Callithrix jacchus: one gene and its partners. The main gene of each other region encodes a partner of the protein of the gene in region 7 in a complex. Links are inferred from orthologs where the notes say so. Each region holds a gene or a part of one and is shown on either strand. Other genes may lie near its edges. The genes, in order: CTNNBL1, BUD13, CRNKL1, RBMX2, DHX16, PPIL2 and PLRG1.

The links.
Region 1: PLRG1 (region 7) and CTNNBL1 share a complex: the UniProt entries of both Homo sapiens proteins name them as parts of the PRP19-CDC5L splicing complex. The link is inferred for Callithrix jacchus from reciprocal best matches to the Homo sapiens genes PLRG1 and CTNNBL1.
Region 2: PLRG1 (region 7) and BUD13 share a complex: the UniProt entries of both Homo sapiens proteins name them as parts of the minor spliceosome. The link is inferred for Callithrix jacchus from reciprocal best matches to the Homo sapiens genes PLRG1 and BUD13.
Region 3: PLRG1 (region 7) and CRNKL1 share a complex: the UniProt entries of both Homo sapiens proteins name them as parts of the minor spliceosome. The link is inferred for Callithrix jacchus from reciprocal best matches to the Homo sapiens genes PLRG1 and CRNKL1.
Region 4: PLRG1 (region 7) and RBMX2 share a complex: the UniProt entries of both Homo sapiens proteins name them as parts of the minor spliceosome. The link is inferred for Callithrix jacchus from reciprocal best matches to the Homo sapiens genes PLRG1 and RBMX2.
Region 5: PLRG1 (region 7) and DHX16 share a complex: the UniProt entries of both Homo sapiens proteins name them as parts of the minor spliceosome. The link is inferred for Callithrix jacchus from reciprocal best matches to the Homo sapiens genes PLRG1 and DHX16.
Region 6: PLRG1 (region 7) and PPIL2 share a complex: the UniProt entries of both Homo sapiens proteins name them as parts of the minor spliceosome. The link is inferred for Callithrix jacchus from reciprocal best matches to the Homo sapiens genes PLRG1 and PPIL2.

The regions. Positions count from the first base shown.
Region 1 is NC_133506.1:33,129,958-33,134,760, reverse strand, and holds the start of CTNNBL1 (beta-catenin-like protein 1), read right to left. Parts: upstream 3,044-4,803; 5' UTR 2,986-3,043; coding exon 2,956-2,985; intron 1-2,955. UniProt on the Homo sapiens protein: Component of the PRP19-CDC5L complex that forms an integral part of the spliceosome and is required for activating pre-mRNA splicing.
Region 2 is NC_133511.1:16,401,352-16,405,414, reverse strand, and holds part of BUD13 (BUD13 homolog), read left to right. Parts: intron 1-1,549; coding exon 1,550-1,767; intron 1,768-3,336; coding exon 3,337-3,442; intron 3,443-4,063. UniProt on the Homo sapiens protein: Involved in pre-mRNA splicing as component of the activated spliceosome. As a component of the minor spliceosome, involved in the splicing of U12-type introns in pre-mRNAs.
Region 3 is NC_133506.1:27,029,215-27,033,277, reverse strand, and holds part of CRNKL1 (crooked neck-like protein 1), read left to right. Parts: intron 1-805; coding exon 806-984; intron 985-2,597; coding exon 2,598-2,768; intron 2,769-3,776; coding exon 3,777-3,968; intron 3,969-4,063. UniProt on the Homo sapiens protein: Involved in pre-mRNA splicing process. As a component of the minor spliceosome, involved in the splicing of U12-type introns in pre-mRNAs.
Region 4 is NC_133524.1:126,043,490-126,048,011, reverse strand, and holds the start of RBMX2 (RNA-binding motif protein, X-linked 2), read right to left. Parts: upstream 3,177-4,522; coding exon 3,112-3,176; intron 2,901-3,111; coding exon 2,785-2,900; intron 1,376-2,784; coding exon 1,324-1,375; intron 1-1,323. UniProt on the Homo sapiens protein: Involved in pre-mRNA splicing as component of the activated spliceosome. As a component of the minor spliceosome, involved in the splicing of U12-type introns in pre-mRNAs.
Region 5 is NC_133505.1:35,451,156-35,455,218, reverse strand, and holds part of DHX16 (pre-mRNA-splicing factor ATP-dependent RNA helicase DHX16), read left to right. Parts: intron 1-1,721; coding exon 1,722-1,862; intron 1,863-2,056; coding exon 2,057-2,219; intron 2,220-2,308; coding exon 2,309-2,427; intron 2,428-2,552; coding exon 2,553-2,620; intron 2,621-3,284; coding exon 3,285-3,447; intron 3,448-3,543; coding exon 3,544-3,705; intron 3,706-3,982; coding exon 3,983-4,063. UniProt on the Homo sapiens protein: Required for pre-mRNA splicing as a component of the spliceosome. Contributes to pre-mRNA splicing after spliceosome formation and prior to the first transesterification reaction.
Region 6 is NC_133502.1:193,633,379-193,638,048, forward strand, and holds the start of PPIL2 (RING-type E3 ubiquitin-protein ligase PPIL2), read left to right. Parts: upstream 1-1,795; 5' UTR 1,796-1,889; coding exon 1,890-1,921; intron 1,922-4,670. UniProt on the Homo sapiens protein: Has a ubiquitin-protein ligase activity acting as an E3 ubiquitin protein ligase or as an ubiquitin-ubiquitin ligase promoting elongation of ubiquitin chains on substrates.
Region 7 is NC_133504.1:42,072,282-42,076,344, reverse strand, and holds part of PLRG1 (pleiotropic regulator 1), read right to left. Parts: intron 3,506-4,063; coding exon 3,452-3,505; intron 2,671-3,451; coding exon 2,580-2,670; intron 2,394-2,579; coding exon 2,306-2,393; intron 1,020-2,305; coding exon 918-1,019; intron 548-917; exon of another isoform or gene 447-547; intron 1-446. UniProt on the Homo sapiens protein: Involved in pre-mRNA splicing as component of the spliceosome. Component of the PRP19-CDC5L complex that forms an integral part of the spliceosome and is required for activating pre-mRNA splicing.

The DNA of each region.
Region 1 (4,803 bases), on a different chromosome or scaffold from region 7:
AAAAGTTTTTTTAAAAGGTAACATTAATTTTAATAATATATTTTCTTTAATCCAATATATCCTAAGTGTTGACATTTATTCAATGTGTAATCAGCATAAAAGGTAAGATATTTTACATTATTTTCATACTAAATCTTTGAAATCCAGTGTGTATTTTACACATGCAGCAGATCTAAGTTAGAAACGAGTCACATTTTTAAGTGTTCAATAATCACACGTGCCTAAAGGCTACTATACCAAGCAGTGCAATTTTATATCATACTCTACTATATTCCCTCCTAGCACTTACCACAATCTGAACGTCTTGTTTACTTAGTATCTTGTAACTTCCCACCAGATGCTCCACAAAAGCAAGAATCTTGCCTTTTATTCAGTGTTATATACCCAGTGGATAGACTGCCTTGCACACAGTAGGTGTTCAATATATATTTGTTGAGCAACATAGTAGGTGTTAAGCAAATGAATTTTTTTCTTTTTTGAGACGGAGTCTTGCTCTGTCACCAGGCTGGAGTGCAGTGGCCTAATCTCAGCTCACTGCAATCTCCACCTCCTGGCTTCAAGTGAGATTCCCCTGCCTCAGCCTTCCGAGTAGCTGGGACTACAGGTGTGGACCACCACACCCAGCTAATTTTGTATATTTTAGTAAACACGGGGTTTCACCACATCGGCCAGGATGGTCTTGATCACCTGACCTCATGATCCACCCACCTTGGTCTCCTAAAGTCCTGGGATTACAGGCGTGAGCCACCAAGCCCAGCCTTTTCTAGCTTTAATGGGCTAGCCCTTCTAGAAATTCCAAGCAAGCATACAATCACTCATTCAACAACATGCCTAATTCCCTTTGTCTTTCACTATCAATTAAACTGTCTTTAAAAGAAAATTCTCTTGGCTCTACAGCTCTCCATTGCTTAATTGTTCTTTCCCATGATGTCTTAAGTGTCCGGGGTCAATTTCTCGTATGTTGGCTGAGGGAGTGGTGGGAAAATAACTGCTTATATTTACTGAATGTTTACTTTTTGGCAAGCATTGCCTAAGCACTTTACATTTCTCAACAGCTTCACAACAGCCCTGTGAGGCAGCTACTGTCATTTCCCCCCATTTAAGATGAGGAAACCAAGGCATAGAGAAGTTAAGTATTTTGTTCAAATTTATAGCAGCCAGTTAGTAGCAAACCAGAGACTGCCAGCAACCTAGGGGTCCAGACTCATGGCTCTTAATCACCTATTCGTGACTGCAGAGCTGTCCAACAAAAATGTAAGCTGAACTACCTACGTGATTTTGAATTTTCTAGTAAACACATTAACACGTCAAGGGGAGCAGTTAAAATTGGTTTGAAGGCCGGGCATGGTGGCTCGCGCCTGTAATCCCAGCACTTTAGGAGGCCGAGGCAAGCAGATCACCTGAGGTCAGGAGTTCAAGACCAGCCTAGCCAACATGGTGAAACCTCGTCTCTACTAAAAATACGAAACTTAGCTGGGTGTAGTGGCGCAGGCCTGCAATCCCAGCTACTCAGGAGGCTGAGGCAGGAGAAATGCCTGAACCCGGGAGGCGGGGGTTGCAGTGATTGTGCCACTGCACTAAAAAAAAAAATTGGTTTTAAGCATATTTTATTTGCTGGGTGTGGTGTGTGGTGACTCACACCTGTAATCCCAGCACTTTAGGAGGCCAAATGGGAAGATCACTTAACGCCAGGAGTTTGAGACCAGCTTGGGCAACATAGCAAGACCCTGTCTCTACAAAAAATTTAAAAATCAGCCAAACATAGTAATGCCCGCCTGCAGTCCTAGCTACTGGGAAGGATACCTTAGACCTAGGAGTTTAAGGCTACTGTGAGCAATGATTGTGCCACTGCACTCCAGCCTGGGCGACAGAGCAATATCCTGTCTCTAGATAACAATAAAATAAATTAAAAATTAAGTATATTTTATTTCACCCATTATCCAAAATATGATCATTTAATCAATATGACCAATAACCAATGTAATTAATATAATCAGTACGATCATGTAATCAATACAAAAATGTTACTTTTTCATACTAGTCTCCAACCTAAATGTAACTTTACACTTACAGTACTTCTCAATTCAGACTAGTCACATTTCAAGCATTCAACAGCCTATGTGGTAGCTACCACACTGGGCAGTGCAGCTCTATTGCCCCTCACAATGAGCCTACTGTGGAATCAAAGCGGGGGACCGGGGGGACCCTTTGGGGTGGAAGTCAAGACACCTGAGCTCAAATTCCAGCTCCTTGTTTCTGAGTGACCGGACAAATCCTTTTTGCTCTCTAGGTCCCTCACAGTTTCCCCACAAGTATCCTATGCAACGGGGGGCCCTGAGCAAGATTCCTAGAAACTCAGTTCCATTCCTAGAATTCCCAACATCTCCTCCAAATCGCAGTAAACACAAGCACAGCTTTCCACACTTTAAAACCAGCTTTCATATCCATCAGTTGGTACAGTCCTCAAACAACCCTACTAAGGCAGCTATTAGTGTCTCCACCACATAGACACAAAAACCTGTTTCAAAGAGGGGGATATGACTTGTCCAAAATCCACACAGCCAGTCAGTGGAGAAGCTGGAGCTCAAACCCAAGAGAGATCCAAGTGCGCTCCCACCATGACCACCACCATCACCTCAATGACTGGGGGGACATGAGAGCTGAGTGGACATGGCTGGGAAAACGGGATAGTCTGGGGTTTCAGAGGAGTTTCAGGGAACCAGGCCCCGGGGTGAGGAAGAGGAGGTGAGAGGCTCAGGTCTTGAGAAGGGACGAATCGAAAGGGCCCAGGAGGGCCTCGGGAGGAAAGTAAAACGAGGGGCTAGGACTCCAGGTGACTTGAGAAGTTAGGGGGCCCGGGAGCTAGGCGAAAGGAGGTGAGATGAAGGGGCTCTGGCCCCTGCGACCCTTGCCCAAGTGAGAAGGCGGTCGCTCGGCCCTCCCTGCCCCTCATACCTGGTAGCTCAGAAGTTCGCCCACGTCCATGGTACCCGACCCAGCAAATCCGGTCCCCTCCACTCACGGCCAGACCACGGGCCCGTCTGCCGCGGCTCCAGCCACACTGCCGTAAAGTGCAGCGAGCGGGGCCTCAGAGCCAATAGAGCAGAAGCGCGCGCGACAAGCGAGCAGGCCACACCGCGGTAAAAGGCCGCGCCGCCGTAAAGTGTGCTGTATTTGGAACCTGGCTGCTTCCGCCTATAACCTGAGGGGGCGGGGAAAGGGGCGGAGACTTAGAGGAGGGACTGGAGGAGAAGAGCAGAAACCGAAAGAAACCAAACTTGATTCCGCGCCCCCCGTGTCCAGAGCGGAGCGCTGGGTGCTTAGTGTGCGCTCTCCGTAGTATTTGAAGTGACTTGTCCTCATTTCACAGAAAAGGAAACTGATGCTCCCAACTGCACCATCCAATACTTTAACCCAGTAGCCACGTGTTACCGAGAGCTTGACATATGGCTACTCCAAAGTGAGATGTGCTGTAAGTGTAAATAAAATACACACCAGATTGGGTCAAATAAATATATTATAAAATGAATTTTACCTGTTTCCTTTTACTTCTTAAATGTGGTTAGTAGAAAATTTTAAATTACACATGTGGCTCTCATTTGTGGTTTCCACTAATTTCTATCAGACAGGGCTGGCTCAAAATGTGACTTGTCCCAAGGCTGTACAACTATTACTGGCTGAGAAACTGTTGGATCACATGTCCCTCTCTAGACATCTGTCTATTCATCTATGCAAAGTCTGACAGTAACTAGATGAACCTGGTGCTACCCAGGCGATATAAAAAGGTTTCTGGAGGAGAAAGTTGCCCATAATTGGAAGAGTATCATTCAAATTGTGCATCTTAATCTCCTGGGATGTAAGGCTCCATCTTCAAAGGAAATTAAACCTTTCTCCATAAGCCCTGCCCTTTATATTTATATTTATATGTTGTATTATATTTATATGCCCTTCATAGTTATAATTTTGGTCCCCATCCTAACTCCACTGTCTCCAACTATACAGAAATTATTCTTATTCCTCAAAGTGACAAATCCTCTCCCCTTCTGTCTAGCTATCAGCCCCACATCTCATCCAACTCTCTCATCTTTCCGGTCTCAAATGTCACTTTCTTAGAATGGCTTCTTCAACTCACCCTCAGTCAAAGTAAGCAAACTCTCTCCTCATTATTCTTTACTGTGTATATATCTCAATCTGTAATTTTGTGTTTAATGGTTGACTATTTGTTTCTTGACAGCCTTATTTACTAGACTGCAAGCTCCATGCAAGCAGGATGTGTGTATGTCATGTTCACTACTGTATCCTCCAAGCCTAGTACAATGCCTACTAGAGGGAGAGGTTTCATAATGGGCCTTGTGTGCCAAGGTAAAGAGATTGGATTTTGGCCAGGCGTGGCTGGGCGTGGTGGCTCACGCCTATAATCCCAGCACTTTAGGAGGCCAAGGCGGGCAGATCACTTGAGGTCAGGAGTTTGAGACCAGCCTGGCCAACGTGGTGAAACCCCATCTCTACTAAAAAATACAAAAATTAGCCAGGCATGGTTAGCCTCTAATCCTAGCTATTTGGGAAGCTGAGGCGGGAGAATCCCTTGAACCCAGGAGACAGAGGCTGTAGTGAGGTGAGATTACACCACTGTACTCCAGCCTGAGTGACAGAGCAAGACTCTATCTCAAAAAAAAAAAAAAAGAGAGAGAGAGAGATTAGATTTTATGCTAACAGCATAAGGAAAGTTTTAACAAGGTAGTTTTGTGATTTTGTTTGATCCTTATTGTTTAAAGAATCACCTATGCAATCTGCATGGAATTC
Region 2 (4,063 bases), on a different chromosome or scaffold from region 7:
TTTACTTGCTTTATAAGGTCTAAGAATGGAGTTTCTTTGGGAAAGTTTTGAAAAGTGAGAGGCTGGGGTTGGGAGAGTTAAAAAATTACGGTGGTAGGGAGGAAGGTTTTCATATATCTTTTTATTTACTTGCCCCACCCCATATAAAAGTACAATTTTTTTTGTTGCAGAAGCTTTAGAATGTACAGAAGTGTATAAAGAGAAAAGTGACACAAAATTCTGTCATTCAGAGGCAATTGTTAGTGTTGCAGCCAGGGTCATCTTAATCTTTTCTGGTTTTTGATTTGCATTTTTGATATAGTTGTGCTCTGGCTATGCAGAATATTGTATTGCGTTTGTAATCTTGTCTGCTGTCTTTTCTTAATATAGTCTTCCTCAGGCCATAAAAACATCTTTATGTTAATATGATGTTAATAGTGTTCCATTACATAAAATTACTTAACCATTTTTCTAATAATGAGTGTTTTTGGTTATTTCTAAGTTTTTGCTTCTGCAATTCTGTAACAGACATCTTGTACATAAAGTGTTGTCCCCATTTTTGATTATTTCCTTATCTATTTCTAGATAGATTTCCTGGAAATTCAACCACTTCTGTATAGGTTTCCTAGAAAGCTGAGAAGTTGATTTACTGGGTCAGAAGATGTGGGCATTTTAAAGACTGTCCATACATATTGCAGATTGCTCTTTGGGAGGTGATTTGTGATGCTTATACAGTCACTAGAACTTAGGCCTGTGCAGTGAAATTTTTTACTCCCTCTTTTCTTTCTAGGAACTATTTTAATTTTAAAATTAAACTACTTTGTTATCATTTAGTCTGAGGATATCAGAATGTATTCTAGGTATTTCTGACTTTTGTCACGCTATGGAGCACTGACTATACAAATGTTTTGTCTGTCCATGGGTGGGGTAACTGACATGGAGGAGTGTGTGGAGATCTCACACACGGTTACAGCCACTGGTCACTTGGTAATAGAATGCCATCTTCTACCTGTTGGTCTTAAAAGTTGTTTCTGACTTTGCTTTTCTCCTGTGTCATTCATACTTATGTTTAGGTTAATGAGAATTCTTCATAGGAAAACTAAATAAATATTGTATATTAGCTTGGTAAGTTATTTTTTTTAGATTCTTCCAAGGGGATTAAAGAATTGTTTGGCCAGGCATGGTGGCTCAAGCCTGTGATCCCAGCACTTCGGGAGGCCAAGACGGGCAGATTACCTGAGGTCAGGTGTTCAAGACCAGCCTGGCCAACATGGCAAAACCCTTTCTCTACTAAAAACACAAAAATTAGCCGTTTGTGGTGGCGCACACCTGTAGTTCCAGCTACTTGGGAGGCTGAGACACAAGAATCACTTGAACCCAGGAGGCAGAGGTTGCAATGAGCTGAGATCGTGCTGCTGCACTCCAGCCTGAGACTGTCTCACAAAAAAAAAAAAAAAAAAAAAAAAAGAATTCTTTCATTTGGAGGTTCTTCTCACAGTCATAGGAGATTTTATGTAAGTTCTTCACCTAGAGGACATCAGAGTCACACAGATTCTTTCCTTCTATCCAGGTGACTGCCAGAAAGCAACTGATTCAGACTGTTCTTCTCCATGGCGTAAACAAAGTACAGGGCACCAGGATTCTGATTCAGATCTGTCACCTCCACGGAATAGACCTAGGCACCGGAGCTCTGATTCTGACCTCTCTCCACCAAGGAGGAGACAGAGGACCAAATCTTCTGATTCTGACCTGTCCCCACCTCGAAGGAGTCAGCCTCCTGGAAAGAAGGTTAGGATTTTCAGAAGCTATGTCCTTATTTTCGCATGACTCTTCTCTCTGAGCTTTATATGTGTCCCAGAGAATCAAGCCAAAGGAGAAGGATGTAGCTTTTAGAAGTGTAGTAAATCTTAGTTAAAAGGACCTTTGGATCTCTTTCTTTCTGAAGGCAAACTGGCTATAACCCAGCCCAGGTGGATTTATAGATACCACATTTCCCAAGTCGCTTCTGCTTTTATAGCCTCTTAATTCTACAAATCTCATTTTAGCAGGTCCAGAAAAGCTTCCTATATTCTTAGGAATAAACTGAGGACTGTAATTTGCAGAGTGGAGTTTGGGGCACAAGCATTGTGTCAAACAAATCACATATTGAAATTCTCCTTCTGCCACTTACTGTCTGTGAGATTTGGGCAAGTTGCTTATTATCGCTAAACCTCAGTTTCTTTATCTGTAAATTGTTGTTAATAGCAGTACCTACTGTGTAAGGTTGTGATAATTAAGCCAGTGTAAATAAATCTCTTAGCATAGTGTCTGCATCTAGTGTAAGCATCTGGTATTGGTGATTTACTAGTATAAATTGACCTATAGGTCTCTGTATCCAGAGCTTAAGAAGAGACACTTAAAATACGGAACTACTTTTAGAAATCATGTTGTCTGGGAAGTTAATGTTTTGTTCTGAGTTCATGATAAAGCTTGATGAATTAGCCAAAAAACCCAAAACTCCATATGAACCTTGAGTAATTCTATTGTAGAGAACATTAATAGTAGTAAAGGAATCTGATTTGTGAGTGGTTAAGAAACAGAATGATGGAGGCTGTGGTGTGCATTTTTCTCCCCAATGCAGACTTACCAGGTAAATCTTGTCTGTTGAAGAAGGGTCTGAGAAGACTGGTCCTGGTAGGGTAGATCAGCCTTTTCTTTACCCAGGGAGTGAGAGTCTTCTCTTTTCTGGAAAAAAGAGGTCTCTGTTTCAGCTGGACCCCTTGACATTTTATGTATCCATTTAGTTAATGGACAACTTAATATTATAGTTGCTTAAGGATATCAGGATATACTGTGTGCTTCATTTGTGGGCTGGTTTGCTGTCTTGATACTAAGTGGAAATTAGCAAAAAGTTTTCATTTGGTTAGATCTTCTGTTATTACCCTGAAATATATCCACGATTTGAGGATCTTAGGTTTGCTTGAGTTTGTATTTTAAATGGAGTATTTTGTCAGTGTGGGTCTCTAATGGAAGACTTAGTGCTTTATACTGGCTTCTGATCAGATGACCTGAGAGAATCTTCATGTGTACAGTTTCTATACTGAAAAGTCAAAAATGCAAATGCATAGCCCTCCCTTTAATATATTGTTTGTTTGTGTTTCTGTTTACTCTTAAACTTGATGGTATTGATTTTTTTATGAAATTAGATTTTCTTTCTTTTATGGTTTTTGAATCGTGATAATTAATGAGAATATAAAGCTAGAGTTTTAGGTTTAATTATTGCTGCTCATCAGAGACAAATGCATCTAACTGTGTACCCGTGGAGCCTACTGCCACATCATCCCATTAATGTTGGATGCTCCCTTTTCCATTGCATAGGCTGCATACATGTATTCTGGGGCTAAAACTGGGTTGGTGTTAACTGACATACAGCGAGAGCAGCAGGAGCTCAAGAAACAGGACCAAGAAACCATGGCATTTGAAGGTAAAAATATGAAAGCACAGAGACCAATCTAGTCTCATGTTGCTTTTTTACAAAACATAGCTTATTGTACCTGATATTGTAAACTTCTAATTGCTATCAAATTTCAGCTCTGGTTTTATGCATCATTATAACTTCTTACTAAGTCCCAGTGTTTCTTTCCTTCTTGAAAAATGCCATTTTGGCTGGGCGCAGTGGCCCATGCCTGTAATCCCAGCACTTTGGGAGGCCATGGCGGGTGGATCAGTTGAGGCCAGCAGTTCAAGACCAGCCTGGCTAACATGGTAAAACCCTGTCTCTACTAAAAATACAAAAAAACTAGCTGTACGTGGTGGTGTGTAGCTGTAATCCCACCTATCAGGAGGCTGATACAGGAAAATCGCTTGAACCTGGAAGGCGGAGGTTGCAGTGAGCTGAGATTGCACCACTGCACTCCAACCTGGGCAACAGAGCAAGACTTCGTCTCAAAAAAAAAAAGAAAGAAAAGAAAAATGCCATTTCTTGGGCCCAGCACCAATGTGTACCTAAACGTTAGTAGGGACTACTTTGATCTGGCCGCAAAAGTTCTTATCTAGCATTAGAATCCCAAGCGGTTGATTTGATCTCTTAGAATGTTGTTTTTGA
Region 3 (4,063 bases), on a different chromosome or scaffold from region 7:
ACTCTACAAATACTGTCATTTAGTCCTCATGACAACCTTGCAGTGTAGGAACTTCTCCATCCTATAGGTGAGGGAGCCGAGGCCTGAGAGGTGAAGTAGCTTGACTAGGCTTTCATAGGTGCTGATGGAAATGGAACGTGAACCTAGAAGAACGAATGCTCTTAACTTCTTGGCCATATTTGAATATATTACCACTTTGGAAATCAATGATTTATTCAAGGAAGATAGATTAAAATGGCAATTCAAAACTTTCGGCTTTGACTCTAGTTAGCAGTTTTCTTTTTATAGCACTTTTTCTTAATTATCAGTTCAAGTATTTATATTTTAATATAATTGATGTCATTTATTGACCAGACCATTATTGACCATTTACGGTGCCATGTTCTTTTGGCCAGAAACTGTGCTAAGGGCTTACCATACATTTTCTCATTTAAAGCTAGCAGTAATCCAATGAGGTTGGCATTATTCTCTGTTAACCAACGAAACAGCTGAGACTTAGACAAGTTCAATGACTTATCCGAGATCACATGGTTAGTAATCTGGGTTGAGATTTTTCTTTGCTTCCAAACTCAAGATTGTACCCAGTACTAAAATCTTAACTAAGCACTGGAGGAAGATAGAATGAGAAGGCGTGGCCCTGCCCCCAGGTAAGCCACCGTTTAGTTCTACACTTCTGCATGTGTTTTATTCCCCTGGAGTTGTAGTTTGAACTGTTGGGGTGTCCAGGCTTTGGTATGGTTTTAGCGTTTGCTTAGTCTTTCAAACCATGCTGTTTTTGCCTGGTATTTCCTTAATTCCCTTGCACTTGTCCTCGTGCACCCTGATGTTAAGAACTGGATCAAGTATGCCCGCTTTGAAGAAAAACATGCTTATTTTGCTCACGCACGGAAGGTGTATGAGAGAGCTGTGGAATTCTTTGGCGATGAACATATGGATGAGCACCTTTATGTCGCCTTTGCTAAGTTTGAAGAAAATCAGAAAGAGGTAATATGCCTAAAGAACTTCATTACACTGTAAAATAGCTTAGCAAAGATTACATTTTGTGCATGGTGGGTTCATTTTCATTTTTCTTACATACCTTGGAGAAGAGTTGCCAAAATGCAAAAACGCAACTTCTCACAGAGAACTGCATATGTATGTGATTCAACTACATATTGGGAGCTGATTATAGATTGTATTATAACTGTCTTAATTTGGTTGTGCTTTGTTTGAAAATTAAGACTTTTAGTCTTAATTCCCTTTAAACTGAGAGCTGATCATTTGGCATCCTACTTAAAGGACTTTACAGGTATAAATATGGGAAACAAAAAGCATAAAACTCCAGAACAGGAAGCAAAATTTAGAATGGAAACAGAGACTGCCCTACAAATAAGGCAAGGAGTTTGAGACCAGCCTGGGCAACATAGCAAGACTCTGTCTCAAAAAAAAAAATTGAGTGGGCCTGTTGGCACACACCTACAGTCCCAGCTACTTGGGAAGCTGAGGTAGAAGTATCAGGAGTTTGAGGCTACAGTGAGCTATGGTCATGCCATTGCACTCTAGCTTGGGTGATAGCAAGACCCTATCTCTTAAAAAAAAAAAAAAGGAGTTCAAGTAATAACGGAACTGAGAGAGGTAGGCTGAGATCCATCCAAATACAGGGTTGGCATTCCCAGTCTGAAAATCCGAAACTCAAAATGGGAACCTTGTTGAGTTCTGACATGACACTCAAAGGAAACGTTCACTGGAGCATTGAAGACTTTGGGTGTTTCTACTGGGGCCGCTGAACCAGTAAGTGTGATGCAGACATTCCAACACTGGGAAAACATCCCAAATCCAAAACACTTCTGCTACCAAATGTTTCCGACAAGAGATACTCAGAAGCATAAAGCCCCAGAACGGAAAACAAAATGTAGACCTGTACAAGGTCTTGCACAGACCATGCTAGGGAGTTCAGATTCTGTTTGAGCCAGTAGGAAGCACTGAAAGGTTTTAAGCAGGATGGTGATTGGATATGATTTATATTTTAAAGAGAATCCCTGGCTAATTCGTGGAGAATGTGTGGGGATGTATGGCAAAAGTGGAACCAGGGGAGACCAGTGGGGAGACTTTTGAAGTGGTCCAGGTAAGCAGTGGAGCTTGATGGCTGGAGGCTGGAGAGAAGTGAAGGGCTGCGTGGAAGAGGTTGAAATGGCAGGGCTTGTTCCAGGAGTGAATATGGAGAATGAGGAAAAGAGAGGAATCAAGGAACACCTGAAGGTTTTGGCATGAGCAAGTATGTGACTCCAGGTTAGGCATTGCCTACTAAGATTGGGAAGATGGGGAAAGTCCCAGGGTGAGTGGGGAGGAAACAGAAGCTGAGTTTTGGACCTGTTTGAGATGTGCAGTGGACATCCAATTGGCGGTGTTAGGTAGACAGTATTAAACATGGAGCTCAAAGCAGAGTACTGGTCCATCCTGACAGCTCACTTCAACAAGAGGGAGAAAAACATTTACTTCCGACATTATGAGGCCTCAAAATCTAACTTATAGGTAATATTTTGTTACATGTACTTTCCTTGTTGTGACTGGCATGAGAATATTGTGTTATAGAAGGTAATCATCCTCTCTGCATTTAGTTTGAAAGGGTACGAGTGATTTACAAGTATGCCCTGGACAGAATTTCAAAACAAGATGCCCAAGAACTCTTTAAAAATTATACCATCTTTGAGAAGAAGTTTGGTGATAGGCGGGGTATTGAAGATATCATCGTGAGCAAACGGAGATTCCAGTATGAAGAAGAAGTGAAGGTGAGCGCTGGTGTGCATGGTCAGCTCTGCAGATAGCTGAGATGTGCTCAGCCTTACTAGCAACACTAAAGGAAACAGCAAGTTAGCATTACCCATGATTACCCTCTTGAGGATGTGCCTGTGATCAACTGATGGCTATTTCACACAAGTAGGAATAAATGAGGGTGATAGAAAAGGCAAGCAAACAACACTGGGATTTGCTCTGCCACTCAGATGTTGAAATTCATTTTGTTGATTGCTGATTATATGTAGAACTTGAGCAAAAGAAGTGTGGAATCCATTTGAGCTCATTGTTGGAAGGAGGTGGAAGAGTCAGAGATTGGTCCAAAAACCTGTTTTTGCACATCACCCTTTGAGCTTAACTGCCTGCACAAAAGATTTATGCTATACAGGGTTCTATCGGCATCTCTTTTTCTGTAATGTGCTATTTTGATTTCAATTCAAAGAGAGTAGCATTTGCCTTCAGTATTCTGCTGTGTATTTAAAAATACCTTTGCTTAGTCTAATTAAGATACCTCCAAGCAAAGGACTAAGTCTGTTATTTAATGAGGTGGTAGGTTAGCAAGATATATTAATGATAAATTACTCTTAATTGGAAAGCAAGTTTAACAATTGTGAGCATAATATCATTCTATTGTAATTTGGTTACAGACATGATATGTAGTCACATATATAAGCAAATGCATTGATAAGAAGAGGCATCTAATTATTGACTATCTTGAAAATGATGGCTGTAGATGAAGGGGGCTTTGCTGTGGGATACCTGGCCAGTGATCTATCCTCTGTATTTCTGTTTCTTTTCTATATGTGCATCTCAGGGATGGTGTTTTTAAAATGAGAGAACATGAAAAATTTAGAAGAAAAAGTGCTAAAAAAAAAAATAACAAAAAAAAAAGAAAAGGTGCTAAAATATAGAAGGTCAGGCTGGTGCCTTTTTTCATCTCACTTAACCTGGCAAGCGCAGCTCTTCATTTTGCTTTTTATTTATTAAACTGGTTGTCTTTCTAGGCGAATCCACACAATTATGATGCATGGTTTGATTACTTGCGTTTGGTGGAAAGTGACGCAGAAGCTGAAGCCGTGCGAGAAGTCTACGAAAGGGCCATTGCCAACGTCCCACCCATCCAGGAGAAGAGGCACTGGAAGCGCTACATTTATCTTTGGATCAACTATGCACTCTATGAAGAATTGGAGGCAAAGGTGAAAAAAAACCCAGAATTATGCATCAGCTGTTAATGGTTTTCTCTCCTCTGTATTCACAGCTCACCTATTGTGGATATTTATAATTCTTGAAA
Region 4 (4,522 bases), on a different chromosome or scaffold from region 7:
TTCCAAAGTGTTGGGATTACAGGTGTGAGCCACTGTGCCCGGCCAACAAAGTAGTTTTTCAAAAGGCACTGTTATTAGCGGCAAAGGCAATCTTCATGGAGAGTAGTGTGTGTAACCAGAATAGAGAATCAGAATAAACAAACACACACACACATGCTAACTGATCATCACTCAGTGTATGTAGAACTAAACAGCTCCAAGATGGAAGACTGAATTGGGTAGAAGTAGAAATTATAGGCTGCACCTGCTGTTAACTTCCCACCATCCAGAAGTTGGAGGAAGCAATCTTTGTCCCTGCCAGGGCCCTCCAACCATGTGGGTTGCCCAGGTTCTCTATCACAGCCTTCTTCTCACGGGTACTGCCTAATTCCTTTCCTATGACTTGCTGCCCCCTAAGTGGCCCAACCACTTGGCCAGGACCCTCTGTCCATGGATGACCCTACCATCCTGCCATGGCAATCCCTCTGCCAGGGTATGCTACCTGTGTTTGCCTGGCCAGCCCCTTTTGCCATGGTCCTCTACCTGTACATGCCGTCCAACTTCTCTGTACTATGTTCCCAAGGCCCAAAAAACCCAAACATAGTGCTCCTCTGCACCTGTGAGCCACCAAGGTCCTCTGGTCCTGTGGACTAACTGTGCTGTTTAGCTCTGGGGTTGCATGCCAGCTGCCCAGCCCGTCTCCTACCAGCTGCTACTACCAGTATGAGCCGCCAACACCCTCTCCCACCAAGTGCTACTGCTCAGCAGAATGAAGAATATACAGGTCTCCTATTCATTCTTGCTCCTCATCAGCCTGTGATTCTCAGCCTCCAGGTAGAGACTGGCTTCGCTCACTAACCTTACACTCATTGAGAAACAAAGAAAGCAAACTACAACCTATACCTTCTATTTTTTACCCCACTTCTGTGTTTTGCCCCAATCCTATGATGCCACACAGGTTAGGGCCAGAAGGGCCCTGTGACCATCAGTTACCCCTAGTTTGCAAGAGCCAAGGAGGTGGACCAACACGGTACCTTCCTGAGGGTTCCAATCTGTTCTAGTCTAGGCCCAGGCTGAACAAGCCTCAGTCAAAGACAACAGAAATAGACCTGAATTCCCAAGATGGCCGCCTAAATTAACCAACTTTTTGGATTTCCCACAGGAGAACATTCTAGAACCATGTCCTGGGACTGATCCAGACTAAAGCAGAATCTCCAACCCTCCCCATGCAGGGATGCCATTCAGCCTAGAGTGAAAATAAGTGGTTTTTGTGATGCCACAAAATGCATTATAGAAACAAAGTACTCTGTCGACTCAGGAGGCAGGAAATGAACAGGGACTTACTGTGAGAACACACAGATGATGTCTCCTTCAGTCAGTTCATAAGGAAGCCCTCCTAGAAGAGAAAACCACATTTCAGTTCACCCAACATTTACCAAGAGTTTACTACGTACCATGCACTAGGCCAGGCACTAGGGGTGCAAACAGTAAGCAATAGGCCCTGTCCTTAAAGAAATCAAGTCTGGGCCGGCCACGGTGGCTCATGCCTGTAATCCCAGCACTTTGGGAGGCTGAGGTGGGCAGAGCACCTGAGGTCAGGAGTTCAAGACCAGCCTGGCCAACATGGCAAAACCCCGTCTCTACTAAAAATACAAAAAAAATTATCCAGGCAAGGTGGCAGGCACCTATAATCCCAGCTACTCAGAAGGCTGAAGCAGGAGACTCACTTGAACCCAGGAGAAAGAGGCTGTAGTGAGCCAAGATAGCATCATTGCACTCCAGCCTGGGCAACAAGAGTGAAACTCCAACTTAAAAAAAAAAATCAAGTCTGATGCAATGACAGAAGTACATGTAAGGTGCCAGTAGTACAGGAAAAGGAGTGATTAACTTTGAGTGGAAGTCAGAGTCACCACTAACTAAACTAATCTGATCACTCAGTCCTCCTGGCACCCCAAATACTATGGACAAAGCAGATAGTTTCCATCACAAACCTCTGCTTCCACAAACATGCTGAATTCATCTGCTCATTATCCACAAATTTACAGCTATGATACAAAATCAGTCTACATATGTCATGGTTAATCCCACCTAAATATAGACAAACGTTATAAAGACACTGTTAAGCATTTCCTAGGAAATAATTTCCCCTCCAAATGTTTCTTTCCTCATCTGTAAGATGAGGATATTAGCACATAACTCACAGGATTGTTATAAGAATTAAATAAAACGACGCATATAAAGTGCTTAGCACAATGTTTGGTACAATAACCTCTTTGAAACGTCAAACTGTACAATTACTGGTTGTGACACAAAGTGAATACAGGAGTGGTAATGTGGCCATGGACAGAAGACAGCAGCTAATTAGAGGAGAAAAGTGAATTCAGGAAGGGAAGGGGAATGAGAGAGGGTGGTGGTAGCAATGTGGGTGTGTAGCTAAGACCATGATTTCTAGAATACTATAGTTCTGCTTGTTGTGCTTACTAGCTATGTGACCTTAATGAATTCCCTTAACTTCTCTGCACCCCAATTTCCTCAGCTGTATAATGGGTCAGGGGTGAGAGAAATAACAACAGTCCCTGAGCCTTAGCACAGCAAATGGCAAACAGTAACTCTCATGATTTGGCAGGGAAAGAAAACTAAAAATAGGGGAGAAAAGAGATGGAACATGGATTCCCGGGCAGACAGCAGATGGATATAAAGGTGGGCGATGAATGTAGGCAGGAGTGAAGGGTCGGAACGCTGAAATCGTCGGAAACCGAGTAGGAGAATCTTGGGAGCACTGCGGGAGAAAGATGTGCACCTCACCCAGGAAGATCCAGGCGCTGTCCTTGTACTCGGAGTGCCAGGACACCTTATCGGCCACCCCAAGCTGGACCTCTCGTTCATTCAGCTCGTTGATCAGCTTCACCTTAGTTAAAGGGCTGCAAGGTGGGGGGATGTGGAGGGAGGAGGAAAGCAGACAAGTAAGTGCGACTGGGCAGGAGCTGAGAGAGAGCAAAACTAGGGGACGAACTGTTCTAGTCACAGAGCCTCTCCCGCCTCTGTACACCGCAGACTCTCTACCACCCCAGCCCCAGCGGACCACCCCCGGCGACTCGCTGCTCCTTCCTCAAAAGGAAGCTAACGCCTTACTTCATCTCCGCTAGCTCGCGCTCAGCATTCAGGTATCGGCGCCCGGATGAGGCAGCGCGGCGCATGCGCGACCCCGGCTCCGGTTGCCGGTTGAGTCGTTGACCTCGCGCCGGAAGAGCTAGGGCGTACCGAGGTCGTGGCGCCTGCGCACTAGCAGCCTTCCGTGCCCTGTGCGATTACTTCTGGAAGAGATGATTTTCTCTAGTTTTTCGATTTTTCTTTTCTGTGAAATGGAGTAAAGGAACGAGCCTGGGTTGTTGCAGGACCCCCAGCACTTGAACGGTGTCTAAAGCTGGTTAGATTAGCTATAAATATTTTCTGAGTGAACGGAACAAGCAGTCTGATGTGGCAACTTCAGTCTCAGCCCCCGCTCTCAGTCCAGAGTCCCACTTGGACCTTCGCTCCTGGTCAGTTGCTCACACACAGCCCCATCAAAGCGTCCCTGTCATGGCAGAAAAGTGAAGAAGATAAGCGAAAGGGTAAATCTTCTGTTGTTCTTATCCCAAAACACAGGCAACATACCAGTGTGCCTCTAGAGGCTGAAGTGAATGCCTACAGATTTGCACGAGAGCCACTGCACTCACTCTTTTCCATCGACTCTCCTAGTTGAGGAGGAGGCAGAAATTAATATTGTTAAATTAATAGCTAACAATTGAACAGATGACATACTATACGATGCAAGAGTATGTGCTAGGCAGTTTACATGTATTGTCTCTCCACCCTCACAACAACCCAATGAAGCAGATAAAATTACAATCCCCTGGTCAGGCACAGTAGCTCATGCCTGTAATCCCAGCACTTTGGGAGGCCAAAGCAGGAGTATTGCTTGAACTCAGGAGTTCAAAACCAGCCTGGGCCACATAGCAAGACCCTGTCTCGAAAATAAAGGGGAAAAAGGGGGGCCAGTCATGGTGGCTCATGCCTGTCAACTCAGCACTTTGGGAGGCTGGGGTGGGCGGATTACCTGAGGTCAGGAGTTCAAGACCAGCCCAGCCAACATGGTGAAACTCTGTCTCTATTAAAAATAGAAAAATTAGCCAAACATGGTGGCACATGCTTGTAATCCCAGATACTCAGGAGGCTGAGTCAGGAGAATGACTTAACCCTGAGAGGCAGTAGCCAAGATCACACCACTGCACTCCAGCCTGATGATAGAGCGAGACTCCATTCAAAAAGAAAAGAAAGAAAAAGAAATTTCTACCCTTATTTTGTAGAGGAAGAAATGAGGCTCAAAGGAATTAATTAACTTGAAAGGTACTCTACCTCCACCCATCAGGTCAGGTTAATTTAATCAGTCCTTACTGAACATCTAGATTTGTCCTGCACAGCTAAGGTCTGTAGACAGGAGTATCAGGGTGGGCCCTCTACCCTCAAGGAGCTAGTATTATAATTAAGGGCACAAGATATATTT
Region 5 (4,063 bases), on a different chromosome or scaffold from region 7:
TGGGAGGTTCATGCGGTACAGGAGTAGGAGATAAGGCTAAAAACAATTTGGGGCTAAGATTAGGGAGGGCCTTTGATGACAGGAGAGCTTGGACTTATTTATTTATTGTTTATAGACAGAGTCTTGCTCTGTCACCCAGTCTGGAGTGCAGTGGCAAGATCTTGGCTCACTGCAGCCTCTGCCTCCCAGGCTCAAGTGATTCTTGTGCCTCAGCCTCCCAAGTAGCTGGGATTACAGGTGCGTACCACCACATCCAGCTAATACTTTTTTTTTTTTTTTTGAGATGGAGTCTGGCTCTATCGCCCAGGCTGGAGTGCAATGACATGACCTCTGCTCACTGCAACCTCTGTCTCCCAGGTTCAAGCAATTCTCCTGCCTCAGTATCCCAAGTAGCTGGGATTACAGGTACATGCCACCATGCCCTGCTCATTTTTTGTATTTTTTGGAGAGATGGGGTTTTGCCAGGTTGGCCTGGCTGGTCTTAAACTCCTGACCTCAGGTGATCCATTCACCTTGGCCTCCCAAAGTGCTGGGATTACAGGTGTGAGCCACCATGCCCGGCCAACAACCAGCTAATTTTTAGTAGAGATGGGGTTTTGCCATGTTGGCCAGGCTGGTCTTGAACTATTGGCCTCAAGTCATCTGCCTGCCTTGGCCTCCCAGAGTGCTGAGATTACAGGCATGAGCCACCACGTCCAGAGAAGTTTGGACTTTAGACAGCTTAGTAGCAATCAAAGGATTTTGAGCAGAGATGTAACTTTCATTCAACAAATATTTCATGAGTTCTTTCTGTGTGGTGCCAGATACACATGAGTTGATACAGTGATGCACAAAACAAAGTCCCTAGCCTACTTGTACTTGCGGTCTGTTGGGGAAACAGTAGATGCGTAAATACATAATGTCAATTTATGGCCAGTGCTGTGAAGAGATACAAGGCAGCATAGCAGGATGGAACTTGACTCCTGAGAGGTGGGGGTGAGGACTGGCATGAAGATATTTGTTTTGGGGTATAGGGAAGGCCCTTCAGTAAAGGGAAAGTGGAATAGAGACCAAACCAGGTGAGGGAGGAGCCAGGCTGATATTTGGGAGAAAAGTGCCACAGACAGAGGGAACAGCTGATGCAAATGAAATGATCCAGTGAGGAGTGCATGTACGTGGGCAGAGCAAAGCAGTGTGCAGGAGGAGTGAGGGAGGGGTTGGAGTGCTAGCAGATGAGGTCAGAAAGGCAGCTAGGGTAGGTGATCCAGGCTTTTAAGGGGATTGGATTGCATTCTAGAGTAGGATAGGAAACCACTGAAGGATGGGGAGTGATATGACATGTTTATATATTAAAAGGACCATCCTGGATGCCATTGACAGGTTGGGAGTAGAAACAGGGAGATGTGTTAGAAGGCTCTTACAGGAAGTGTTGTGTGAAGATGGAAGTGGTGGTGAGGAAGACGGGACAGGAACTTGAACACTCCCATTCCCCTTCTGAAAAAATTAACACCCTAAGTCCTCTTCTCCATTTTCTTTCCTCCTTGTGCCCCTGCTGACTCCCAGCCCCCATTTCCCTCTGCCCTGTCTTCTGTCCTTGTCCCTTGCTCTTGACCTTGGATACTAATTCCCTCAGCTCCTGCCCCTTACCGCAACTGCTTTACTACTTCTAACTTTCCAAGATGACTTTTTCTGGGTAACGAGGTTGGCAGGGTCACTGGGTGACCCCATATCCTCTCACTCAGGTGGTTGTGGCAACAAACATTGCTGAGACATCACTTACCATTGAGGGCATCATTTATGTGCTGGATCCAGGGTTCTGTAAGCAGAAGAGCTATAACCCCCGCACAGGAATGGAATCACTCACTGTCATACCCTGCAGTAAGGTCAGCTTGGGGATGCATGGGGGTCAGGGAGGTAGAATTGGTCCACAGGGAAGGTCCAACTCCAGAAGCAGGGTGGGGGCTTCTTAGCAAACGGGGATGAGCAGTTTACATCCATCTTAATTTCTTGCATAAATACTGCCCTTTTTCTTTTCCCCAACCAAATTGTCAGCTAGCCTGCTCGCCTTTCTTTCCAGGCCTCAGCCAATCAGCGAGCTGGCAGGGCAGGTCGGGTGGCTGCAGGGAAGTGCTTCCGCCTGTATACTGCCTGGGCCTATCAGCACGAGCTTGAGGAAACCACAGTGCCTGAGATCCAGAGGACTAGCTTGGGCAATGTCGTGTTGCTACTCAAGAGCTTAGGTGACTGGGCTACCTGAGAGAAGGGGGAGGTGGGCTGGAGTCATGGTCCTTTGAAGGGATTCTGTTCCATCCTTCCCACCTCTCTCTAGGGATCCATGACCTAATGCACTTTGATTTCCTGGACGCTCCACCATATGAGACACTGCTGCTGGCTTTGGAGCAGCTGTATGCCCTGGGAGCCCTCAACCACCTTGGGGAGCTCACCACGGTGAGTTGGTGGGCAGCATGGGTGGGGGCAGGATGATACGGGTCAGGATGGCTCCAGGGACCCCTATAGCAATGGAGAGAATCCTGAGGGAGGACCGGGCTCAACTCTCTGTCTTCTCTCCTTAGTCTGGTCGAAAGATGGCAGAGCTGCCGGTGGATCCCATGCTGTCCAAAATGATCCTAGCCTCTGAGAAGTAAGCCCTCCTCTCCACCCAGGCCCCCAGGCCTCCTCTGTCTCTGGGGTCTTCTTTGTCTCTTTGTCTTTTTCTCTTCATATTATTATTTAATAAATAATAAATTATTAGATAACTCTGAATGCCCCCTTTTGAGGCCCACAAGGGTAAGACACTTGATCCTTGATCCTGTCCTTGATTATACTAAATGGGCAAGACTGACTGACAGAAAATTCTGGGTCATGAACGAAAGTAGATTTTCCATCTGGGAGGGTTATTGAATGAGGGCTGGTTTTGGAACTTACTCATTCCCAAGGTTTCAAACTAGAACATTTAGATGTAGCTGTGGAGGGACCACCTTTAAATGCCATTCCTCTGCTGTCGAGATCTTTTCCGAATGCACATAGTGAATGCACACTTTCTGTAGAAACCTCAGAAGTCCCCAGTGTTTTCTGCTCCTGCCTCCATGGATATCCCTCCCTTGTGACTGTGTTTCATCTATGCTCCTACCTCCTTGACCCTCAAGCTGCTGCCAGAATCTATCTGCTGGCTGCTTTGTAACCATTATGCCAACCAGCCTTCCCCACATGAGGAAACATCCATCACACAGCGGTCACTTCCCCCTCTACCATATCTGTGCTTATGTGTCTTGCTTTGAACTCGTGCTTTCCCCTTCCTGTCCCAGGTATAGCTGTTCAGAGGAGATCCTGACAGTGGCTGCCATGCTGTCTGTCAACAATTCCATCTTCTACCGGCCAAAGGACAAGGTTGTCCATGCTGACAATGCCCGTGTCAACTTCTTCCTTCCTGGTGGTGACCACCTGGTTCTGCTAAACGTTTACACACAGGTCACTGGGCTTGGGTGAGTGGGAAAGAGACATGGGGGGACTTCAGTCTCGCTGTACACTTAACTACCTCTCCTTTCTTTTTAACTCTCTTCCCAGTGGGCTGAGAGTGGTTACTCTTCCCAGTGGTGCTATGAGAACTTTGTACAGTTCAGATCAATGCGCCGAGCCCGAGATGTGCGGGAACAGCTAGAAGGGCTCTTGGAACGTGTAGAAGTTGGTCTCAGTTCCTGCCAGGGGGACTATATCCGTGTACGCAAGGTCAGCATTTCTTTTGCCTACTGCCTTCTACCCGCAGTAGCTTCCTGGTGGCATGCAGCAGCTCCTCCAGCCTGAGGACATGCCCTCTTCCCCTTATGTACCACATTTCCTCCCAGGGCTTTCTTCCCCAGACCACTGAAGGTTCATTCCTGGGGGATTCTTCATGCCTTCCCTACCTCGCTAGTTTTCCCAAAGCTTGAACTAAAAAGGTAGTGAGCACTTAGGGTCCCCAGATATCTGCCTTTTCCATTGATTTTCTTTCCTGCCTTCCCCTTAGGCCATCACTGCTGGTTACTTTTACCACACGGCACGGTTGACTCGGAGTGGCTACCGCACAGTGAAACAGCAGCAGACGGTC
Region 6 (4,670 bases), on a different chromosome or scaffold from region 7:
GTGCTAGGATTATAGGCGTTAGCCACCACCCCTAGCTAGACATGTTAAATTTGAGATCAGTGGTTACCCAAGTGGAGATCAGGAGCCTGGAGTGCTGGCAACTTAGTATTGGGAGTCACGGGATACAAGTGGCATTTAAAATTAGGAGCCTAGGGTCGGGCACAGTGGCTCAGGCCTATAATCCTAGCACTTTGGGAGGCCAAGGAGGGTGGATCACGAGGTCAGGAGTTATAGATCAACCTGACCAACATGGTGAAACCCACCTCTACTAAAAATACAAAAATTAGCCGGGCATGGTGGCACACACCTATGATCCCAGCTACTCACAAGGCTGACGCAGGAGAATTGTTTGAACCTGGGAGGCAGAGGTTTCAGTGAGCTGGGATTGCACCACTGCACTAGAGCCTGGGTGACAGAGCAACGCTTCATCTTAAAAAAAAAAAAAAAAAGAAGAAAGAAAAATTAGGAGGCCGGGCATGGTGGCTCACGCCTGTAATCCAAGCACTTTGGAGGCCAAGGCGGGCGAATCACCTGAGGTCGGGAGTTCAAGACCAGCCTGACCAACATGGTGAAACCCTGTCTTTAAAAAAAAAAGAAAATAAAAATCAGGAGAGGCTGGGCGCGGTGGCTCACGCCTATAATCCCAGCACTTTGGGAGGCCGAGGCGGGCAGATCACGAGGTGAAGAGATCGAGACCATCCTGGCCAACATGGTGAAACCCCATCTCTACTAAAAAATACAAAAATTAGCTGGGCATGGTGGTGCGTGCCTGTAGTCCCAGCTACTAGGGAGGCCGAGGCAGGAGAATTGCTTGAACCCAGGAGGCGGAGATTGCAGTGAGCCGAGATTGGGTCACTGTACTCCAGCCTGGTGCCTGGCGACAAAGCAAGACTCTGTCTCAAAAGAAAAAAAAAAAGAAAAGGAAAAAAAGAAAAATTAGGAGCCTAGGCCAGATCATGCCGGGCCTGAGTGTAGATAGGGGCCCAAGGGAAGGGTCTAGCAGAAGAGACAGAAGGAATCAGGCAGGGCTTTGGACCTCTAGGCTTGATGGCCACCTGCTGCCGGGCCTGTGAGGGGCCTCGAGGCGGTGGGGACCCAATGTGCAGGGAGAATGAGAAGTGAGCGCGTAGACACGGAGGGCGGACATAACTTTGAAGGTGTCTGCTGCGGAGGCGGCAAGGGATGGAGTGGAGGCTCATGGGACATGAGGCTCCAGGAGGACTTTGGAAAAGACCTGAGCGCTGGCTGGGTGTGGAAGTTTAGGCCTGTAATCCCAGGACTTTTTGGGAGGCCAGTATGGGAGGACTGCTTGAGCCCAGGAGCTCCAAACGAGCCTGGACAACATTGTAAGAGCCTGTCTCTACAAAAAGTTAACACATTAGACGGGTGTGGCGGTGCGTGCCCATAGCTTCTCGGGAGGCTGAGGTGGGAGAACCGCTTGAGCCTGGGAGGTTTACGAAGTAGTGAGCTGTGATTTCGCCACAACACTCCAACCTGGGCGACAGAGCGAGATCCTGTTTCGAAAATTAATACATAAATAAGACCTGAGAACTCAATATGGGAATGGCCCTGAGCCGTCGCTGGGCGGGTAAACGAGGCGGTCCAGACGGAGACCCCTAGAGAAGATGGGGCCTCAAGGCTGAGGGAGCTCGGTCCTGGGAAGGCGCCAGCGGGAGAAGGCACATCCAGAGGCCCAGATTAGGCTGTCGACTCTTCCGAGCATGCGCACCTGGCGCTAGCGAACAACAGGGCCCGGCACGCCGGGATTCCGTTTCCGGGGCGGGCCGCGAAACCCGGAAGTGGTCACCGAACGCTGCCAAGGCTCCATGGTCTGAGTTGTCAGCCGTTGCTTTTTCGTGCTCGTTAGTCGTCGCCGCCGCCGCGCCGCCATGGGGAAGCGACAGCACCAGAAGGACAAGATGTAAGTTGAACCGCAGTCGGGAGCGGCGGCTCGCTCTGCCTCAGTGACCCGCCTGTCCCGTACTGCGCGCCAGTCGCCTTCCCTCTCAGCTAGTCTCGGGAGCCCAGCACAAAGGTTACTTCCTCCCGGAAGCCGTCGCCCTCTCTTCTAGCTGGGTATTGACCCTCGGGCCGCCGTGCTCTCCCGTGGCTCCGATGACGTCTGCTGCGGGCCCGAGCGCAGTCGGGTCTTCCTTTACTCTGCTTCTGCCCGGGCCGCCCCCCACTGCTCGCGAGCTTTGCCCGAGTGAGTAGTCTCTCCCTCTTCCGTACATCCGGTCTCCCTGTGTTCTGGTTTATGCCCCTCAGCCTGCACACGTGCTGCAGAGCCTTCCAATTTAAAGCAAACCAGGCTGGGCGCATTGGCTGACCTGCAATCCCAGCACGTTGGATCCAGCGAGCGGATCACCTGAGGTCAGGAGTTTAAGACCAGCCAGTCCAACATGGTGAAACCCCGTCTCTACCAAAAATACAAAAATTAGCCGGGCGTGGTGACCGGCGCCTGTAATCTTAGCTACTTGGGAGGCTGAGGCAGGCGAATCGCTTGAATCCGGAAGGCGGAGATTGCAGAGCCGAGATCGAGCCACTGCCCTCCAGCCTGGACGACAGAGCGAGACTCCGTCTCAGAAATAAATAAAACAATACAATAATGCAATACAATACAATCCACCCGTGTCCCTTGCCCCAGTTCCCCTCCCACTGCCGCCGTATTTTCTTTGATTCTCTCGGAACAAGTGAGAGACCCGTGGCTTCGTGCTGTTTTCTGAGTCTCTTGAAGCCATTTAAGTCAGAGTTTCAACCCTAGAACTCCTCTTGTCATGTTCCCAGCGACTTCTTGTTGCTAAATCTAGGATTCCGTCCTCAGTCCTCATTTTGTTGGGCTTCTCAACAGTATGTCACACCGTTGACCACTCCCTCCTTCTGAAGCCCTTCTTTGGTATCTGGGATTTCACATGCTCTTTGTTTTCCAGCGGCCTTTCTTTTCCCAGTCTTCTTTCTGGACTCTTCTCCCTTCTCCCAGACCTCGTAGGTTTTTTTTTTCTATAAACATTCCCTGTGGGTAATATAATTTCCCAGTCATCTGTAAGCTGCTTTCCCCAGTCTTGTGTAGTTAGCGACTTTCTTATTATCGCCACTGGAGGACTAACAGGTGTCTCAAATTTAATATGCCTTAAACAGAGCTCTTGATTTTCAGCTCCTGAGCCTGTTCCTCCCTAAAAACTAAAAATCTTAAGTCTCCCCACTGGCTGAACAGACACCCTTGTGGCCAAGAGAACCCCAGGAAAACCTTAAAACTGAGTTTATGGCCATGATGGGATGGAGGTCAGATGTATCCTTTTGTGTCTTGGACACAGCTGACCAGGATTAATGTTGAAGTAGAGATCATAAGATTGACAAAACAGACTCTGGCAATAAGATACCAAATTATAAACAGAACCCACAGACAATTGTGCCAGACAATTTCCCTGGTTAAGTTATCCACTCCTGAACTTAAAGAATAAACTATATTCTAACTGCCACAAGATTTTTCTTTTTCTGTAGCAGCTAAATAAGCACTGGTTTTCACATAAGCAATATTAAAACAGTTGTAGTCCACTAGCAGACATGGACTAATTGAACCCCTGTTCTATCAGTCGTACTGCAGCTTTAGTCTGGGCTCAGTAGCTCATGTCTGAAATCCCAGCACTTGGGAGGCCAAGGCGGGACGATCACCTGAGGTTGGGAGTTCGAGACCAGCCTGACCAACATGGAGAAACCTGTCTCTACTAAAAATACAAAAAATTAGCTGGAAGTGGTGGCACATGCCTGTAATCCCAGTTGCTCGGGAGGCTGAGGCAGGAGAATTGCTTGAACCTAGGAGGCAGAGGTTTCAGTGAGCCAAGATTGAGCCATTGCACTCCAGCCTGGTCAACAAGAACTAAAATCTGTTTCAAAAAAAAGAAGTAAATAAATAAATAACTGCAGCTGTGATTGGACAAGAGACTGATTTCTGTAACTTTCTCCTGATAAGACAACTGACCATGGACAGGCCCTGGCCAGTTTACAGAGGCTGCTCATTCGTATGCTCTCAGATTTTTAAAAGATCTTTTGATGATAAGGCCTACTTACAATACATTTAAATGTTAAGTCTCCACCTTAAAGAGAACAGGGGTCATAGGTTACATATATGTTTATTTATTATGCCTATGTTAGGACCATCTTTATGAATATTCAGAGATCCTTTAACCTGTTAAATATTTATGATTAACTTCTTCAGCATAAGGCTCTTCCTACTCCAGTCCCTCCTACTTCAAAGTGCCTGTCTCTGGGATTCAGCTGGAGGCCATGCTTCCAGCCTGCTGGATGGCCACTTTAGGCTGTAACCCATTATAAGAAATAAAGTCAGGGCCGGGCGCGGTGGCTCACGCCTGTAATCCCAGCACTTTGGGAGGCCGAGGTGGGTGGATCACGAGGTCAAGAGATCGAGACCATCCTCGTCAACATGGTGAAACCCCGTCTCTACTAAAAATACAAAAAATTAGCTGGGCACAGTGGCACGTACCTGTAATCCCAGCTACTTGGGAGGCTGAGGCAGGAGAATTGCCTGAACCCAGGAGGCGGAGGTTGCGGTGAGCCGAGATCATGCCATTGCACTCCAGCCTGGTAACAAGAGCGCAACTCCGTCTCAAAAAAAAAAAAAAGTAAATAAATAAATAAATAAATAAAGTCTG
Region 7 (4,063 bases):
CTTCAAAATTGGATATGTAGCCCATAAATATGTATATCTATTAGCCATTAAAACTAAAAATAAATTAGTATTTAAATTATTGAAAAAAAATAAGACAACTACAGTGACAGAAAACAGATCATTGATTGTCAGAGATGAAGGAAGGCATAACTGCAAAAGAAAAGCACAGGGGTGTTTTTTGAGGTGATGTAACATTTATATCCTAATTGTGGTAATGGTTACCCAAATCAATACATCTATTACAATTCATTAATCTGTATGTCAAAGAAAAAGGTTCTTACTGTACCATCATTTGAAAAATAAAAATTTAAAATATATATTCTGTGTAGCTGTACACTTCCTATGTATATTTTCTTTTTAAATTTTCTGTTTTTAATTTTTGTGAATCCACAGAAATATGGGGTACATGAGATATTTTTATACAGTCAAGCAATGCAAAATAATCAAACAGTATGGAACACTTCACAAATTTGTGTTATCCCTGTGCACGGGCCATGCTCATCCTCTCTGCACCATTCCAATTTTAGTATGTGTTGCTGAAGTGAGCATGCATGCCCATTTTCTTTTAGATGATATACTCTGAATCACTGTAATTTATTGTAATTGCAAGAATAACTGGTAAGCCCAGTGAAATTTCTTCACATGGTATTTCCCCCTTCACCTTCAAACTAAATACTTTGAACACTTTTTCTGAATTTATTTAGTCTGCCATCCATATTTAGTAGCTTTATCTGGACATTTTGTATTGTATTTTATATAAAATACAAGTGCAAATTTTACTTAGGGAAGTGACCTTCCCAAGAGCTCTTTTAAGATACTGCCTGGATTCACTTTTTCCTCCTTATTCTGTTCTTCGGTGTTTGTCGACTAGAAAGCAATCATGGTTTACATAATAAAATAAATGCAGAGTCACTCACCCTGTAGAGTTTCCACGGCGGATGCCACTGGGGTTTTGGCATTGTAGGAGCTTTTTTAGCTATCAGTGCAGAATTCTTGGTATTGCCAGTCTCCATGACAATCTAGACATAAAAGAGACTACATTATTATTATTAAAGACATCATACCTAAGGCTTCATGTTATCAATTCCGAAATGGAAACTGAAAGAGAAAACTTACAAAAGCTTTTCCATAAATGAAGAAATAAAATTTTCTGCATGCTAATTTAAAAAAGCAATTATAAAGCCACAGAGAGGCAGAACTTAGACTTAAGAGTACACATCACCGTATGGGTTCAAAACCCAGCTCCGCCCATTACTAGCTGACTGACACTGGGTAGTAATTATGTAACCTCTATGTGTCTCACTTGTAAAATGGGAATAGTGCCTATTTCATAGGGTTACTACAAAAAAGTAGTAAATGCTCCATGTAAGCTTCTATTATTAAAGTTATTTTAAGTGTATTAATGCCACTGCCTTTCACTGTCATATTTTAACATTATTAATATTTATCTTCTAATACTTAAATAATATTTTAAAAGGTATGCTACCTGATATACCTTCTATTTTAGCAACCATCTAGTCACCTAAAAAATATTTAAGCCCATAAAGTTCCTGCCCTCAAGAAACTTAAATTATACCCTCATAATATAAGGACAGAGAACCTGGACAGAAAATGTGTTCTGAATGAAGTTAAAGGAAGAAATGAGATGTGGAGGCTACACCTTCACTCCTTTCATAAGGTCAAATCAATTGCATAATGAGCTGAGCAGTAAAGCCAGCACTTATTTCAAATGGCAGCATAAGAAAATACACTGCAGATAAATAAGTCAGTAAAAACACTGTAGAAAATAATTATATTACTACTTCTACCATACTGAGCAGTTGCCACTTACTTACAAACCAATAAACTTATTTCTAAATGTTCATTTATAAGACCAGTTGTATAACGCATGAATAGCACAACACTAACAGCACAGTACAACTGTACAGTTCTACAGTGTGTAACTGAATAGCCAACTTAGTTTTAACAAAAAACTAAAACTTCATCTAATACATACTAGCACAAGTTTCAAAAAACACTCCTTGCATTTTTAATAGTGGGCAATAAATACCAACATCATATTATCTTTATCAAAATATATATATTATGCACAATATAACAGAATTAAATTCTTAAAAATACATTAATTTACTACCAACTTGAGTTTTAGGGCTATGAAATATGAATGACTAGCTCATGCTGCTATTTATCTTAATTATTCCAAAGAAGTGTTCATTTCTTTAGTATTTAAGACTTTTGGTTAAAGGGAAATAAGGCAACATAATCTGAAAGTTAAAAACCTGCTATTTGAGGCAGAAAAACTTACTGAATTCATCGTTGTAGGCTGTGGACGGTCAGCAGCCCCAGGATGTCGGTATTCACTTCCACTAGGTGCAGTACGATTTGCATCAGCCCTGAGGCAAAAGAAATTATATAAAGTAATTAATACCTCCAGTCATATATTCTGCAAAACCAACCCTTTAAACTTTTCTTAGTCCTGATAAAGAAAAATGTCATATAATAGTTATAAAGAAATTTTTTAAAAAACCATCAACAGTGAAATATGCTTTTAAGATCTTTGTAATTATAGTACTTCATACTTGGCCTGAGAAGGTAATGCCACCGCTAAGGACTGTGCAGCTGATTCACTTGGCATTCTCTGGATCTTAGTATCTGCTGTCAAAGCGACCCCTATTAAAATGAAAAATCAATTTCTTTTAGTAGCTTTGTTTTCATTTATATACATTTAAAATAAAAGGATGAAGGAAAACATACACCAAATGTTTATCTCCAGGCAGTGGAGATAAAATTTTGATTAAATTTTGCTCATCTTTGTTTTTAATTTCTACAATAAATACTGCCTAATAACACGTAACTCAAATTTGATTTCATCACAACCAACCTGGTATTAAAGCAGCCCAGAATAGTAAAGTTAATTTCCATTATATTCGGGTATTGGTTTCAAAAGTCAGTATTAAGCAGTTCTTCAAATACTAACATAATGTTTCCAAAGGTGGGATGGAACTTACTACACCCAATTTCCCTGTACTTTCTGTATATACTAAGCCTTTTGTCCTCTACCCTGTTATACTAGCCCCTCCATTTGAAAGCCAATGCCTTAATATAGACATAGGACATGTTTCTAACATACTGCTTCTAACATTTCCATTATTTTTATAAGCTTAGTGATATTTACATGTCTGCCTAAGCCACCAGATAATAAATTGGTCTAGGCCTGCAACAGTTTTACTGTCTTTGAATTCCTAGCACAGTGCCTGAAAAATTACATACTTAAAAATCTTTGCTGATGAAGGCCCATGAATATTTATTATCACCTACAAAGCTATGTATGGATGCTTGGCTATTGAGCTTATCTTGCATTTTATAGGCAATGAGAATCTCATTATTGGCTCATTAGTGAAAATATGTGTGACATTTTAAAGACATTTTCAATATGCAACAGCTCACTAACCAGGTCCTGGTGGGTATGGATGTGTACCTGCCACAAAGTATTCAACTTCTTGTCCTGGAAAAAGGGGGAAAAAAAATCAACAGTACTGAATGTATCTTATATAAAAGTTACCATCTCTTTAAATGTAGCAAATAATATTAAATTATCAACCGAGCTACCAAATTTTCTCAACTAAAGTCAAGCCTCAGAAATAAGGGAAGTTGATCACTTTTGCTCTGACCCCTGTAAACCATGTCCTTGCCCATTCGCTGTACAGCAATGGTGTGCAAAGAAGCCCTCCTATCAAATGACAATCCACTCTGGTATTTCTTCCAAGTGAATGGTTTCCTGTGGAATCTTGAATTCTCTTTATTACGATTTTAGTATTTAATTTCATCTTTCTGAATTACAGACAAGATACATGGCATCCCCACAGGTTAAGAATATTCTCCAAATTCTTCCCTTAGTCTCCACTGCGACTTTCTCCACATTCTAAGAATCTCTGCCATCATTATTCTGCTTTAAAAAAAAAGTCAGCAACCAATGTCTCAGTATTCCCATGAGGATCAAAACTTCCATTATAATACCAATACAGCCATTAAATACTGTATGATCACAATAAGTTCTGCCAGG